Mytilus edulis: one gene and its partner. The protein of the gene in region 1 interacts with the protein of each later gene in a biochemical or structural test. Links are inferred from orthologs where the notes say so. Each region holds a gene or a part of one and is shown on either strand. Other genes may lie near its edges. The genes, in order: tyrosine-protein phosphatase non-receptor type 11-like and fibroblast growth factor receptor substrate 2-like.

Region 1 (9,386 bases):
CTGCCTATTTTTTTTAACAAGTGTTTCATCCTGCCTTTTTTTTTACTCAAAACTCCTGTCCTGCCTATTTTTTTCAAATTTCATCCTAGCCCCCCCCCCCCCCCCCCCCCATAAAAATCAAATGGTAGCTCCCTAATCATACTCTGGGAAATTGCAAGCAAATCAAAAAAATTTCTGACAGACCATTTACAAAGTAGACCTCTTGAGATTGGGCCAGTAATTCTACTGGCAGTATATTTATAATCTGTATTCATTGCATAAATTAAAAAAAGGGTAATTTACTTCCTGTTCCTTATCAGACTTATATCAATAAAAGGTATACTAATGTCAAAAGCTGATTTACCTAGGGCTGTAAATAAATATAAAATGTAGATAACAAATAATTTCACCAGTATAGCATATATAAATGTCAATACAAAGTAGCTGTTGTACAGGCAGGGGGTCTTAATATATTGTACATGTTTATGCAAGAATATCTTCCTTTTAGACATTGGCATAAATACATTGTACATGGAAATGGTATTAAATTGTTTAAAAACTCTGAATTCTAACTGTATGATTAATGTCATTACCGGTATGATGCGAGATGTATGCATTTCCCCCCAAAACCCACCCTGAGTGGACATAATAGATTTGGCAAGTTCCCACAATTGGAGGAATTTTTAAACTTATTTTTATTTTGCATTCAAAATAGTTATATAACTGTATAAGAAGGGAATAACTTCCAACATTTATGAAAACCAGCATTGAGTGAATTTTGATGATGCCTTTTTTTTTATCTGCAAAAACTTTTAAGAGGATGTGTGGGGACTGGAACTTGAGTTAATTACTTTCTTTTTTTAGAAGTTTTTCCTTATCATACGTCAAGTGATTGGTCCACTTAATGATAAGTAAACTTTTAATCTTCTTGTCAACAAGTGCAACTCAACGGTTTGCTTCCCTCTTTAGGGATTACCACTTAATATCCACTTTTCTTGACCTAATTTGAAAATTAATAAGGCCAATAATTTAGGATTGAAAACCAGCTTGTTTTCTTTAAAACTTAACTAATGATATTCCTTTATTTTGTTCCACAATGACAGCCATCTTTGATGACAAACAGTTTACTTCCTTCACTTTTATTGTCAGTTTGTTGGTGTTTCAAACAACTATCAACTAACTTTGCTATAATGATGGCCAGGTAGTTGGTGGAAAAAAGCAGGAGTAACAAAAGTGTCAACCACCAGCCTTCAACAGGAAAACCATAAATTCTTTAAACAAAGAACCAAGAACTTGAATCCCTCAATTAAATGAGCTATTACATGTATTATACTATATAGGTTAGATGATTGATAAAAAAGAAAAAACCCATACCTCTTCAAAACACACAAATGCCTGATAAAAAGGAGAAACACATAACTCTTTTAAATACCTAAATGACTAAAAAAAACAGAGAAAAACCATACAGCTTTTAAATACCTAAATGACTAAAAAAAACAGAGAAAAACCATACAGCTTTTAAATACCTAAATGACTAAAAAAACAGAGAAAAACCATCCAGCTTTCAAATACCTAAATGACTAAAAAAACAGAGAAAAACCATACAGCTTTTAAATACCTAAATGACTAAAAAAACAGAGAAAAACCATACAGCTTTTAAATACCTAAATGACTAAAAAAACAGAGAAAAACCATACAGCTTTTAAATATCTAAATGACTAAAAAAACAGAGAAACCAATATCTTTTAAACACTAAAGACAGATGAAACAAAGAAACCCACAACCATGACAACTCTTTTAAACACCTAAAGGCATGATAAAACAGTAAAAACCCATACCTCTTTAAACACCTAAATTACTGGGGAAAAACAGAGACAGAGAACCCCATACCTCTTTTAAACACCTAATAGCAGTTCAAACACCTAACTGACTGATAAAACAGAGAAAACCATACCTCTTTTAAACACCTAAATGACTGGGGAAAAACAGAGACAGAGAACCCCATACCTCTTTTAAACACCTAATAGCAGTTCAAACACCTAACTGACTGATAAAACAGAGAAAACCATACCTCTTTTAAACACCTAAATGACTGGGGAAAAACAGAGACAGAGAACCCCATACCTCTTTTAAACACCTAAATGAATTTAAACACCTAATAACAGCTTAAACACCTATAGCTAAATGACCGATAAAACAGAGAAACCCATATCTTTTTTAAACACCAAAATGAATTTAAACACCTAAATAACAGTTCAAACACTTAAACATGTTAAATGAATGATGAAACAGGGAAACCCATACCTTTTTAAACACCTACATGTAAATGACAGATAAAACAGAGGAACCCACATCTTCTTTAAAACTTCTACATGACTGAGAAAACTTAGTGAGAGAAACCCATACCTCTTTAAACACCTAAATTACTGGGGAAAAACAGAGACAGAGAACCCCATACCTCTTTTAAACACCTAATAGCAGTTCAAACACCTAACTGACTGATAAAACAGAGAAAACCATACCTCTTTTAAACACCTAAATGACTGGGGAAAAACAGAGACAGAGAACCCCATACCTCTTTTAAACACCTAAATGAATTTAAACACCTAATAACAGCTTAAACACCTATAGCTAAATGACCGATAAAACAGAGAAACCCATATCTTTTTTAAACACCAAAATGAATTTAAACACCTAAATAACAGTTCAAACACTTAAATGAATGATGAAACAGGGAAACCCATACCTTTTTAAACACCTACATGTAAATGACAGATAAAACAGAGGAACCCACATCTTCTTTAAAACTTCTACATGACTGAGAAAACTTAGTGAGAGAAACCCATACCTCTTTTAAACACCAAAATAACTGATAAAACAGAGAAACCCATACCTATTTTAAACACCAAAATAACTGATAAAACAGAGAAACCCATACCTCTTTTAAACACCAAAATAACTGATAAAACAGAGAAACCTATACCTCTTTTAAACACCAAAATAACTGATAAAACAGAGAAACCCATACCTCTTTTAAACACCTAAATTAATGTTAAAACAAAGGAATGCATACCCCTTTTAAACATCTAAATGACAGATATTACAGAGAAACCTATTATGGACACTATTGTACCTCTTTTATTAAACACCAAGTGACTGATAAAAGAGAAACCTATACCTCTTTAAAACTTCTAAATAACTGGAAAAAAATTAGTGAGAGAAACCCATACCTAATTAGGAACGATAAAACAGAGAAACCAAACAACAACAAATGGAAGTGTTTAACGACCTTGACTGGCTATACAGCCCTTGCACGGTCGGTAAAGAGAAACCAAATGATAACATGTACCCTTTTTATATATCTTTTTTTGCTGGGCTGGATATGTACATATTTAAAAAAGAAAACTTTACTGTTTATAAGTAAAAAGTAAAGTTTTATGTAAAGTGTGAATGAGTCACTTGTCTAAACAATTCACACTTGTCTTTTAAGAGTTATTATAACAGACCTACCTTCTTTGTTGGATAATTCTTGATATCCGGCCTTTAGCTTCATCAGTAATCCTATCTACTACCATGCCACCGGCTGACATGTTAACTCTGTCAACTTGTAACAAACTTTAAGTTTTTAGAGATGTTGTTTTCCAGTAATCTCGCTCATTTCCTTTGATTATTGATAAAGAGGAAACTTGCTTATAGCCAAACACTTCACGATCATTATGACTTATTTCCCCTTTTGAAAAAAATTGTATTTATAAAAACTTGTAGACAAAGTTCACTTGAAGTTTGATTGAATTGAAGATTATATGTTCGATACAAAGATAAAGCTGGCAAACCAGGCATGAAACATTTTATTTCCTGGTCTTTTCATGGTAAGAAAATCAGGTAACAATATATCAATATTTGCATAGTCGTTATATTCTCATTTTGATATCTTTCACTTTTACAGTTATAATATTGTCATTTCTTGTCATTCCTGTCTAGAATTTCAAAGATATGTACATGTATCAATTGACTGTCAACGCTTAAGATTTCCACTATTTTACAAAAAAACTTTTCTGCCTCAGACTCTATTCATTACATGAAAAGCCAGTCTATCCATTAAATGCACATTTCACTACCTGTAAACATGGTAAGTACTACATGAAATTCTTAATGCTGAAGTTTAATCTTTAACAATCTAGGCAAACAGAAAGTAAGGATGGATGAATAAATAGATAAGTCCTGTTACACGAATGCACATGTACCGTGGCCAATACACAACAGAATAAATTTAACACAGTCAGCATATAAGTAATTTCAAGGTAAGTTAGTATCTAAATTTATGTAGATATATAATTATGTATGTAACAAAATCCAGGTAAGCTTTGTCAAAATGCATTACACTCTTACAAGTTTTATCCAAATCTATTAACAACAACAAATCTAATTTCACAACTTGTAATAAACAAAACCCACAATCTTTTTAAATATGCATCTAAACCATTTTAACAGGAAGTAAATGTATGTATACATAAGTACATTGTACAACTTTATAAAATCACAGTTCAATAAGCTAGGACAATATTATACAAACTGGGAGGATTTAAATCTCTTCATGACTACATTACAATTTTACACCTCTTAATATGCAAAGTTTATTATCTTCAAAGTGTTAATTTGTTATCATTATAATTGGGCATCTATCATTTATCATTTACATGATTTATATCATATGATGTGAAAAAATGGATGAATAAGGAAACAAATACATGGATATACTTTCCATCTTGAACCCCCCAAAAAAACTAACAGATACAAACATTATGGAGTAAGTTTCATCAAAATAAGCACTAAAACATTGCAACTCAATAATTAAAGCTCATGGATTTCATATTCATGTGACTTTCAATTTCACCCCTTAAATCATTTTTGTAAATAGAGAAAGTGAAACAAGAGCAAGCTACTTGGTGGACTGATTCTATTCACAAAATACTATTTTTGCATTGGTAAAAAACAAATGGTTGACATTTTTTTCCATACTAAAATATAACTGACCTAGACAAATCTAATTGCACGTGCTCGCTATCTATTTATACTTATGTTCATATCTAGTTATTAGACAATCTTCAGTCTTCAGAGGTCATCTCAATGGTTAGTTAGATGACATCAAGCAAAGTCTTAAAAACACTTGAATTGCTGATACATGTATACAATGTTTTAATGATCTGTGCATTCTCAATTGTTTTATATCTAAGACTTTTTTGTAATTTGAATATATACCTTTTAGTACATGCTATAAATCAAATATAAGAATTTGAGTCAAATTAGTGAATATAAATTTTACAGCTATAAATGCTCTTTTTAGAATCTTATATAACATATATCTGTATATAGAGCATTATCTAACTCTTCAATTACATGAAGGTTGTAAATTTTCTTGAAAGTATCTAAGTTCCCCCAAGGACGTATGTTAGTTAAACCTCCTTGGTTCCCCCGAGTCCTTAAATTTAAAAATTTTTTTAAAACAATTCCATAAGGCCACACTTAAAAATATTTTGGTTTGCCCAAACCCTACCGAAAGGTTGAGACATTGGGAAGGTCGGCCTTTTTTTTTTTTATTTCGACAAAGAGAAATTGAAGTGTCAGATTTTTTTCAGTCATGACGATCTTATTAAAAAAAACACTTTTTCAAATCAAGGCAATATCCAAAGTTATTTTTCATTTACCTGTGTATATTATGAAACTGGTTTTTTTTCAAGAGTGATTATTTTCTAAGGGTTGTTAAATATTTTGGGGATGTCTTGCCATGGCTTTGTTTGGACTTGTTTGTTTGCTTTTTTGGCCTTGAATGTAATTGTCCCTAATAATTTGTGTGGTTGCATTCAGGTATCGCAGATCAGATTTATTCGTTCATGGTGGGTTGATTTACATTTTTTGATTGAGTTAAGCCTTCCAATTGATATTTTATCGTGTTTTTCTATGTTGTGATGTTATACATTTGTACTATTGTTTCAGAAAAAGGGAGAAGGTTTGGTACCATTAATGTTAATGTTTGCACCTGTCCTTAGTCAGGAATCTGATGTACAGTAAGTTGTCGTTTGTTTATGTTATTTATAAGTGTTTCTTGTTTTTTATATAGATCAGACCGTTGGTTTTCCCGTTTGAATGGTTTTACACTAGTAATTTTGGGGCCCTTTATAGCTTGTTGTTCAGTGTGAGCCAAGGCTCCGTGTTGAAGGCTGAACATTGACCTATAATGGTTTACTTTTGTGGATTGTTATTTAAGAAATAATTCTATCCTGCCATGCTCTATGCTCATTTTAACATGGGTAGGCATTATATTTGTTAATATCTTAATACCAAGTGTTAGCGATATAGGAATATTTGAACTTTTTCACTTCGAAGAGAACCTATAGTAGACGCTCGAAATGTCGCCATTTTCATTTCATGAACCAAAAACGTTATAGAAAATCAGCAGTTTCTCAATGAAAAAAGAACAGAAACATTTAAACTTACTTTTAGAATGTTTTTATTTAATTTCCTAGCAAGCAACACCAACAAAAATGTCCATTTTGATCTCTGGCGTTTTTCAAAATTCACCTGATGTTGCAATTTCAATTGTGACGTCAATCACGTGCAGCCCATGTTCTATTTGAATTAGAACATGGCTTTGTACCCAAAGCTTAAGAAGAACGTCATATTAGAATTGGATGGAGAGTTGTCTCATTGGCACGCATACCACATCTTCCTATATCTAATAAAAGATTTTGACTAGGCAGATATTTTCTGGGTAGGTAGGGTTAGGGCAAACAAACATATTCTTTTTTATGGCCTAATAAGTACATAGTAAGTGTACAACTTGAACATGTGCAAAAGCAGCATGATGTCATGGATGTGTACAATCTTTCTGAGAAGTCTAAGGGTTGAAATCTGTATGAGAAGTTGAGAAAAGCAGGAGATGTTAAACTTGGACACTCTTTCATATCATTGCTTAAAGTTGACTTAGTTTGAAAAAAATATCAAAAAGTTCCTAAAACAATTCCATAATAGCAGATCCATATACTGTATAACTTAAATATGAGATGTGCAATCTTGCAGTGAAGTTTGAGGGGAGTGGGTTGAAAACTGTACAAAGGAAGAGTTTGACCACTTTCATAAATTTTGTCGATACATACAAGTATATTTAATTATTTCTTTCGAAATGATTTAAACCTGTGCTTTAAGGAAGTAACTGTGCATCAAATATATAAATATATACAATTCAAATTTGTTCAAACTATAAAAGATAAAAGATTTAAAAGATAAGCTTGCTCTGTTATGTATGATATTACAGAAAAATAATTGATTTTTCTTCCTAAAAAGTAAAGTGAATACAGATTTAACCTTTGGAATAACAATAAAGTGGTAAATTTATTTAGAAGGAAGTTTCTCACAGGGAAGACTACAAGCATGATAAGGTATACAAACTCAAATTTTATTGATTATTTCAAACCTATAGGATTTAAAAAGCAAGTACAATGTTTACATATATATCTGTGTCAAAGAATGAAAGAAAGCAATCTATATCTTGGTAAATGACTCAATGATTATTTATCTATATATAAATCAAGGATACACATTAAAAAAAATGTTTGACTTGCATGACTTGTTGAGCCAAAATCTGCATACACATATTTGATACACGTCTTTAGAAAAACTGTACTATGTCCAGGGGCGGATCCAGCCATTTTAAAAAGGGGGGTTCCCAACCCAGGATAAAGGGGGGGTTCCAACTATATGTCCCCATTCAAATGCATTGTTCGACCTAAAAAAAGAGGGGGTTCCAACCCCCAGAACCCCACTCTGGATCCACCACTGATGTCAAAAATTAAAATTTGTGGTTCTGACACTATTATCCACAATTGGAATTCCGCAAATAATAATGAATCCACAGCATCTCAAATATATGTCCATATAACATTGTACAATGTAGTATATAACATGTATCATAAGGAAGTTAGTGTGTTAACTTATCCTCCCTTAATAGATAATAGATATAGAAATATGTGGTATGTCAGTGCCAATGAGACAACTCTCCATCCAAGTAACAATTTATAATTTAAGTAAACCATTATAGGTCAAAGCCTGTAAATGGGATTTCGACAGCTATTCATTTTTTTACTTTAAATGCTTCAAGAGCAAAACAATAACATCAAAAGTTCAATGTAGCATATTTTTTTTTAAAGACCCCTTCCCCTCTTTTCTTAATTTGGGAAAAATTGATCATGACCAATATGGATACATGTAAAATCGATGTCAATTAAAACTTGCAGCTTGCAACCCCACCCCCCTCCAACTCTATTTGATTTAAGTTGTTTATCCTATGTTGATTCTTTGATGTCGTCCCTTAGGAACTAGTCATGTTATTCTGCTAGGTTTGTGTGCATCCCTAACATTGTATGTAGACTAAATATGATTCATGACAAGAAAATATCTTTTTTTTCTTTTATTAGTACCAGTGTTCTCACTAAGGAATTTAGATGGCGAGTCCGGGGACTCGTCATGTTTGGCTGTGGCGAGTCCAACAGTAAGAACAAGATATTTCATTGCAAGATAATTCATCATTTAAGTCTCCATTACCCAATAGAGCAATGAATTTACATCAAATTCAGATTTCTTTTAAACTTTTGCTATTAAATGATGATTTGTGTGTTCAGTTTATACAAAATATATCAATCTTGATGCATCTTTGGACTCAGCAGTTTTGAAAATGATGAGTCCAGACAGATTTTCATGAGTCCAGGACTCATAGACTCGCCTTAGTGAGAATCTTGTATTACTGATCACTTTTTTTCTGTTCTAAGTTCATCTCAATCATGTCAATCACTTAACTTATATAGTATTAGTGCTTGATCAAAGCAGAATAGAGGAAAAATATTCATCCAAGGGCAATAACTCATGAAATGTAGTTCGACATATTTTGTGTACATTGTACAAGAACAGTCAGTACACTTACAAAAATGTACATACATGTATATGTGTCAACATTCTGTAATTTTCTGCTTCTGTCAGATTTTCTGTATCTGAAGTGGTTCACATAATATTGATATCCTGATTTGAACAGTCATTATTTATCAAATACAACAGCATCCATTCAATGTTTCTAAAATGGCAGACTTAGCTGAACTGGCCATGGGTTAACAACAAGACATTCAAACTTGCAATTAATTTCCAAAATACTGTGACTTATTAAATATGTACTGTTTATGTAGTACATCAATGTACATGAAATATGAAAGTGTGATAAATAACCTGTCCTTCAGACACTCCTTCTTTGGTAACAACTTAGAAAACTGAAAAAAGAAGAAAAAAAGGGCAAAATCTGGTTGGGTTCATGACTAAGGAGTAATTTTGTGGTCATTAGTCAATGGTCTAGACTATAGATATTT
Region 2 (8,801 bases), on another chromosome or scaffold:
AAACAGGAAGTTGCCAAGTGATGAATCTGAAAACGCATCACACGGTATAGCTGACTTATATAAATCCTGAAACCAAATTTCAGAAATCCTTGTATTGTAGTTCCTGAGAAAAATGTGACGAAAATTTTCAACTTGGCTATCATGTGTAAAATCAGACAAGTGTTCGGTTAACAGGAAGTTGTCAAGTAATGAATCTGAAAACGCATCACACGGTATGGCTGACATATATAAATGTTGATACCAAATTACAGAAAGGGTGGATGTGTAGTTCCTGAGAAAAATGTGACGAAAGTTTCATGGGACAGACTGACTGACAAACGGATGGACAGACAGAGGTAAAACAGTATACCCCCCCTTTTTTAAAGCGAGGGTATAATAAAGCGGGGGTATAATTAGTTTAAGTTTAAAAAGGAAAGATGTCAAACAAATCTTCTTTTCTTGTTTTTTTGTTAATAATTATACTTTGTTCATCAAAGTTGGATTAAAATTTATTTTCTGCAGAATGATTCTACTTGTCCCATCGGAAAAGCTTGGTATAGCTTTTACTTGTCCGACCTTTTTTACCTCTGGTACCGGACAATCGGACAAGCGTTATTGTCGAGGACTGCACTTATTTTCTATCCATGGCAACATCTACTTTACCTTTATATATACAGTCAAACCTGACTAAACCGGACCCTGAATAAACCGGTTTCCTGTCCATTCCGGCCGAAAATGAAAGTCCCAATTTTTCTCCTTTAAAGTCTTTGTTAAAATACCCTTTGTAAACCGGACCCTGTGTATTCCGAATTCCGGACTAATTATGAAGTTCCAATACTGTTAATAACATTAATTATTACCTGTCAAAACCGGTTTGTCTAATTAATTTCAATGATCGATATACAATCAAAACATATTTGTTTATACAATATGGCTTTTCAAGTAATCAATTAGTCAGGTGTTAAACTGTGAACTTACAATCGTACAGTAGTGAGCTGTATTATTTATTAAAACATTATAAATGATCAATTAAACGAAAAGAAGACACAACGAATATATCTCGGAGTGAAATTACGTTGTAACTTGGATAAACAAATTTAAATCGAGGAGTAAGAAATTTCGAAGTCCCGGATTCCCTGTTATGAACCCCTAAACAAATGACCTTGATAATGAAAAACACCCGGATGACAACAATCAATGGGTATTGTACGCTGTACGACAACGTTTCGATAGTGATGAATATTACGTTTGATGATATTCTGGCTTTTTAATCGGCCATTCCAACATTTTAAATTAATGATCATGGAAGTAAATGGAAACTCTTGTCTGACAATCCAAAAAAAAGCGAGCATTATGATGCAAATGAAAACAATGAAAAACGAAGTGAAGTATTTTAATTTATGAGATATAATTTACAATCAGAGAGAACTTTTACATGCAAAATATCGGACGTCACAAGTCAGTAACTTCCGGTCAAAACGGAAACCTGAATAAACCGGCTCACCGTCCAAACCGGCCCTTTTTCATAGTCCCGTAGCCGGCCGGTTTATACAGGTTTTACTGTATAAAGATCTATAAAACTGTATTTCCATTATGCAGGCCTCTACAATAACTTTTTTTCAACTTGTCCTGTAGGACAAGTACATACCAAAATTTACTTGTCCGAATGAAATCGTTACTTGTCCAAAAATTTCTATTAAAAATAACCTTTTTACATGTTTAGTTGATTAAAGGAGCAAAACGAATTTAAACAATATAACGGAATTTGATGTATTTTTTTTTAAATACTTTTCAAAAATATGAGTCAAGTACAACTGCTAAACTAGTCATATCACAGGAATTAGGTTCTAGTTTCCATCAATGCTAGTCTCATCAGACTCTAATCATGAGGCACCATCTGATAGGCCTGTACACTCATTGGATTTGTATTCTGTTTGGGTTTTTTTTTAAGTTAAAAAAAGTGTATTCAAATGCAATCAATAAAAAGAAGAAGATAAGCCATCATAAGGTCTGATTGCCAATGAGACAACTCTCTGCAAAAGGCCAAATGACACAGAAATTAACAACTATAGGTCACCATATTGCAAGTATTGTTTTTTTTCTACTTATGATCAAATATATGATTTTGTGAATTTTATGGTAAATAAAAAAAAATATTTTTGTGAAAAAATTACGGGTATGGTATTTATTTTAAGGAATTGAGCTGCTTACCATCCACATCTGAGCAACTACTGTACAACCCTGGGACTTCTCCTCGGAAACCCTCTGGCCAGTTCTCTGCATGTCACCCTACACCTGTAACTGTCATTCTATGACCTGGTCAAACTTCATGACCATATCTAACATCGATCTGCCAGGCAATATTCTATATACATGGTTTATATCATTAGCAGATGCTCGTAGCACCATTGCCATGAAAAATCCATGGATGGTACCAGCAGGATTCAAACCCTCAATCAAGGGATCTAAAGGCAGCACTCTAACCAATTGAGACAAAGAAGATCTTCCCTAAATCAACTAGTTAGACGTACACGACTACCTTTATATCTCCAGGGCCGTAACTACCTATGAGGCAGGGGAGGCAACTGCCTCCTTGAATTTTCTACACCAAATTACCGGCTGAATCAGCTGTTTTAACCGCTTCTCCCGATCATACGAGAACATTATGGTTAATGCCTTAGTAAATGTAGTTCACCCCCATTCGTTGTAACAGGGACTTTCTATACTAAGTATATACTTGACTGTATTTAAAGTCCCTGTTTTTAGTTATATACATGTCTGTTCAGCTTTCAACAATATTGAAATTCAAGGTCCTCGATAAAAAAATTATCTTGCGTTCCATGATCTTAGTTGCTTTATATGTTTTTTTTTAACTTACCAGTTCGATTTCTAATAAAAATATCTTTAAATACAGGTAATAATTGTTTGCATAAAAATTGCTTCCAGGATCCAGCATTACTGATATTTCTTAAAGTAAGGAAATCGAAGAAAAACGGGTCATTTATAGCCATATTGAGAAAAAAATCCATGGTTACAATGTATTTAAAGTAAATAATTATAGGCCAAATAACAGCATTTAAGAAGGAGCCTTGGCTCACCCCAAACAACAATCTCAGCTTGTCTTTGCTTTAAAATGGTTTCTAACTTCAAGCAATACTGATGTCTCTTAGAGTAAGGAAATCGAAGGAAAACTGGTCATTTTTAGCCATTTTACCACCCCCCACCCCCTCTCTTGGGGGCCTCACTCAGTCAGCGGCCCCAAATTCCTGCCTCCCCTGAATTAGAACCCTAGTTACGGCCCTGATCTCCAGGTCTACAACACATACATGTACATGTAGCATGACATAGTTTCATAGGCCATACCCTCATGATCATCTTTCCTGGTTAAAACATTAATTTACAAAATAACGGAAGCAGTTGCCAAGCTGAATATTTCTACTACTCACATATTCTAAGCTTCAACGAGGGAAAAATCTTCATTCATCTACTGACAACGAAATGCTATATGTTATACGGGCTTGCGAAATTATAGTGCTGAGCACTACCACTGTCATGATCAGCTGTTGCATTTGGTAGACTTCATTTTTAAGATTCCCTGGTTTGTCACACACTGTGACGTATCTCTATTTTTAAAATATGTTAATGGGAGCTTACCTGCAATTAAAACTATATCATTTTCACTTAATTATAATGCAGGTGAGCGGTTCAAATCTTATAACACATGCCCATTTAAATCAGAATGTCAATAACTTCCGTTTGATTAAATTAACCTTGACCTTTCATCAATCCGATTTGAATCCGTGTTAAATTTTACAAAACCCCTTACAATCAAAGCACTACGAGTACTATTGTCTATAAGTGGAAGTTGAAGAAGCATTACACGCATTTTTTTATAAGAATTAAGAAGGATTCAGGCAATATCGTCAAATTTAAATGTAAATTTTGATGAGGTGATTTTAAAAAATAATGGTGCTTTGGTCAATTTAGATCATTCTAATTAAAAAGTCCTTAAATACATAATTTCTTCTTTGCAAGTAGACTTATCAATAAATTAATTATTTTATGAGAATATACAGGCTATTTCAATTGTTTCATGACAAAAAATGTGTTCCGGTAATTTTAATGGTATATTACATGGGGTGATGAAGTGTGGTTGTTAGTTGTCACCATTAACTTCAAACTAAAATATAAAATGCATATTAAACACATTTATGAAATGGACAGAGGCGGATTTAGGGGGGGGGGCGCAGGGGGCTCGCCCCCCCTTTTTGGGAAAAAATTTGGTTGCTTATATAGGGAATCATTGAAGTGTGACTGGAGCGGGCCCCCTCTTCAGGTCAGTCAGTGGGCCCCCACTTATGTAAATTTCTGGATCCGCCACTGATGGATATACTACTGTTGCGGAATGGAAAACATCAGTGAACCTTCTTTGAAAACCAATCGTTTTTTTATATTCTTTGTTATGTCAAATTTTAGTTACTGTAAACTTACTAGTCATTTTTGTGGGGAACAAATTATCGAGAACATTGAAAAAAATCAGGAATTGGCTCCTTGCTTATTAGAAAATGATTTCAAACCCACTGAGAAAAAAATCACGTATCACAGACTAATCCATCAATCATTCGTGACAAATCTCTGACGGTGACAGTTTAAACATGCTTCTGACACATCTTTAGTTACTCTGATGCTTATGTGTGCTTATATCTGATCATTTTAACCGAGGACTTAGCTGTATTCAGAAATTTTGTATGTTATAAGCTTCGTCCTCGTCCTCGGTCAATATTTAAGAAATAATTGATGCAAGCTATACTTTATTGTAGTTTTAACATGGGTAGGCATTATATTCTTGATTATTTTTGCCCGAGCGATAGTGAGGGCTAAAATAACACGGATATAATGCCTACCCATGTTAAAACTACAATATAGTATAGCTTGCATCAATTATTTCGATTCGGACTACATGATTAGGACAATTCAGGTAATTTCTATGGCCGATGTGTATAAGGGTAAAGTGATTGTGTAGGCTCTTCCGTGAATCTCCCTTTTTTGTTTGTAAAGAAGCAAACAGCTGGCACTGTGGTTTTTCAGAGGGAGGAGTTTTTGAACAGCCAGTATGAACGGCCAGTATGAACAGCATAGGTCAAATATGTCAATTTCGGAATGCAACACAATTACAGTCATAATAAATGAATTAGTAACAACAATGATATGCTTCATTCAAGAGTTTGGAAGTGTTTTAAGTTAATGAAATATATCAAATGCATGCCATTTTGATAAAATTCATTATTCTGCAGTAGTCAATAAACGCATGTGCAAAAAAAGACTATTGGATTTTAGAGCATGGGTTTATTCATAAAGCGAAAGAAGCACGTCATATTGGAATATCATATATAACGTATTGTCAAAAGTCCATAATTAATAAATAATTTAATTCGAATTACAATTTAGACTGGGTGTCTATACCACTGTTTAATGCAAGTTTACTGATTCGTATTAGTGAACATATTTCTAATGCGAATTGGATAATGCGAATTAGCTAATTCTAATTAAATGTACGTGTGATCGAGGCATTAAAGTAACGTTATTCAAAAACGTCGCACTTTTTCTGTCAAATTCTAAACATATTTGTTTACCGTAAAAAACAAGGATGTCGACATATGTTTTTCCATACATTCATGGATTCAGTATACAATCCTGGATTTTATGCTAGTTTTAGTCTTTCTCCGTATAAAATAACATAGCCATCAATTGGAAATTTTTATATGTTATTATATACGGAGAAAGACTAAAACTAGCATATATAAATAAGTAAATTTGTCGCCAAAATTGACGTTTTCTTCTTAAAATCAAAAGAAAAAATTTGGTAACCCCTATTTCTTATTGCACATTCCAATGAAACTCGATTGAAAGTACAAAAATGTACCAGTGTGCTAAAATATGTAGAAATTGCGAGATATCTGATTTGGTATCGCGCACATATATTTTTTATTACATATTAATTGATTTAATCAGGCCAAAAATAGCCTATATGCAAATTGTCAGCAAAATTTAGATATGGGATCAAAACTGAATCGTGTGCCCTTAAAAACACTCGATCCCGGAGTCCCGAAGGATCCGACCTTGCCCGTCCAAAATTAATACCACCATTTAAAAAATATGAAAGAATGGGTCATTTTGCTTTTTCTGTTAACCAGATTGTCGGTTGTCGACAATATCAAGTATATTTCTCATAATTGAACGGGGAAAATAAACGTGCGAAAAGAAATATGCAAGACGAATAGACACTAAACATCTGTTTTTGAGAATCCGAACTTATGTTTAACATTTCGATACCATATTGACATTACAACATAACCTTGCAATTGAGAAAAAACACTTTACATTCTTTTGAATTATTTAAAATAACCAAAAATAATGCTTCTGCTGCTTCTATGTAAAATGTTATTCTTTTGAAGTTTAATGTCTTTTAATATTCGATAGAATACTGTTTTCACCATTCTTTTTAAAATCACAATTCCAGGTATATATATGTTTTTTTTATGTTAGTATATCAATAATAAATACAACATTTATAGAGCGCATTATATAGTAACAACAATTACTCTAAGCGCTTCACATTTGAAAATAAATAAAATACAAAAATACATAAAACATAAATTACAAAGCACTGACTTAAAAGAATCAAACAAGCATTTAAAAAAGACACTAAAAAAAAATAAAAGGAATAAAAATGTAGTTGTGGAAATATGACAGACATATGCGAAACAAAAGACTGTGTGCTTGCATCATCCATTTGTGTAAAGCGGTTCATGAAACTCTGATAACTTGTACAAAAATTTTGTACAAATTATAATTTGTACAACATTACAACTTGTACACAACATATACATACCTTAAAATATACAAAACAGTCTAAAACTAATTATATAAATTCTACAATAAAACCTTAAAAGCAGTTCGAAATAAGTGAGTCTTGAGTTACTTTTTAAAAACATCTAAAGAATGTACACTCCACAAGGACAATGAAAAATTGTTCCATAGTGTAGGTGCAGCCTTGTCAAAACGCCTCTCATCGTAGCTTTTCGTTCGGACGTCTATTTTATATTTTCCGACCTGAGGGATTACTGGGTTTGTATGTCGTAATTAAATCTTGAAGGTAACTAGGAGCATTGCCATGCTGCGCTTTTTACAATATAAAAGAAGTTTATATTGGCAACGGTAATGTATGAATAGCCAGTGTAAAGATATAAGAACAGGCGTAATTGAGTCAAATTTATTTTTTCGTGTATTTAAACATGCTGCTGTGTTTTGGACCCACTGTAACTTACTGATAATGTTTGTGCTAGTACCGTACACCAATGGAAATTGTCACAGTTCAGCCTTGATGTAACTAGGGAGCACAATAGTACATTATTGTTTCCAAAAATCGGACTGAAGATGTATATTGTATCAAAATATATCACTTCTGGTAAAATGACGTTTGAAAAAAGTAATGGACATCAATATAAATTCGGATAAAATCTACAGACGAAATCTTGTTCTCAACTACAATGAAATGGCTCGGTGAGGTAAATTTCAAGGCTTTATCATAAATCGTACGTGTTATATCATTGACTTCAGATAAATTTATACATGTCCTAAAATATAAGTGGGTCATATAAATATTTTTCAACTTCAATTCTATCAAAAGTAAAATATATATGATACTCTGCATTTGTGTTGGTGTTCTCTCGCTGTATTGATAAAATGGATTTGTTGAAACAGTCAATATTTCAAGCAATTGATGAGGCGTCAGAAGAATTGGAAAAACTGAGCATTGATATATGGCGAAATCCAGAACTGAACTTTGAGGAACATCATGCGCACGAAATACTAACCAATTTTCTTGAATGTAAAGGTTTTAATGTTCAACAAAAATTTGCGATGGAGACTGGATTTAAAGCTGAACTAGGATCCACAGAAAATGGACCTAACATTGCCGTGATTTGTGAATATGATGCGTTACCAGAGATCGGACATGCATGTGGGCATAACTTGATTGCTGAAGCTGGTGTTGCCGCTGGTCTTGGAATAAAAGCAGCATTGAGGAAAGCAGAAAAACCATTTGGCAAGGTAGGTAAACATTTTATCTTGTGATTAACTAATACAAAGGAGTTACAAGACACAAGGAGACTGTAAACCTTAGCCTAAGTTCGCTTAAACGAAAGTCTTTTAGAGAGCTTGCATCTCACCATCAGCAACATCAATCCATTGGTAATACTTCGAAATTACGTTAGAATTAATTCGACATATGCATGTTTCTGAAAACATTTGAATTATCAGTTTTAGACAGTACCTTGGCAACTTCATTTATTGTTTCTTATTATCATTCAGTCAACGACAAAGCTTACAGAATCTTGAAAGTAGAGGCGAAATATACCAAAGGGTCATTCAAACTCAAAGCTGAATGCTAACTGGCAACGCCATACACCCCCGCCCCCAAATAAATCCCTCCCAAAACCTCGAAAAAGATCAAAAAGACAAGAAACAGTTACAAAACACAATGTAGAAAACCAAAGACTGCGCACACAAATCCAACCAATACCCGGGTTTATCTTAGGTGCCACAGGTGGATAAACAGAGGTTGATCCACATGTTGTCGTGTTGCTCATTTAAGTACAAACTCGATGATCAGTCTACTGAATTCTGTATGCCTCATTCGGAGAAAAGGAGGACGCGATTGTGGTTACCTCGATTAGAATATAGCCGTCGTACTCTATGAATCAGACATGCCGTACGGTGACCTTTAGTTGTTTCTTTCTGTGTCATTTGTTCTCTTGTGG

Evidence for each region.
Region 2: the proteins of tyrosine-protein phosphatase non-receptor type 11-like (region 1) and fibroblast growth factor receptor substrate 2-like interact in a test that uses a peptide from one of them, tested with the Homo sapiens proteins (2 studies listed by BioGRID, with this or other methods). The link is inferred for Mytilus edulis from reciprocal best matches to the Homo sapiens genes PTPN11 and FRS2.

What each region holds. Positions count from the first base shown.
Region 1 is NC_092356.1:58,021,508-58,030,893, forward strand, and holds the start of tyrosine-protein phosphatase non-receptor type 11-like, read right to left. Parts: upstream 3,717-9,386; 5' UTR 3,570-3,716; coding exon 3,490-3,569; intron 1-3,489. UniProt on the Homo sapiens protein: Acts downstream of various receptor and cytoplasmic protein tyrosine kinases to participate in the signal transduction from the cell surface to the nucleus. Positively regulates MAPK signal transduction pathway. Dephosphorylates GAB1, ARHGAP35 and EGFR.
Region 2 is NC_092353.1:43,621,452-43,630,252, forward strand, and holds the start of fibroblast growth factor receptor substrate 2-like, read right to left. Parts: upstream 3,761-8,801; 5' UTR 3,634-3,760; exon of another isoform or gene 3,426-3,633; intron 1-3,425. Other genes in the region: xaa-Arg dipeptidase-like, read left to right, coding at 7,726-8,091. UniProt on the Homo sapiens protein: Adapter protein that links activated FGR and NGF receptors to downstream signaling pathways.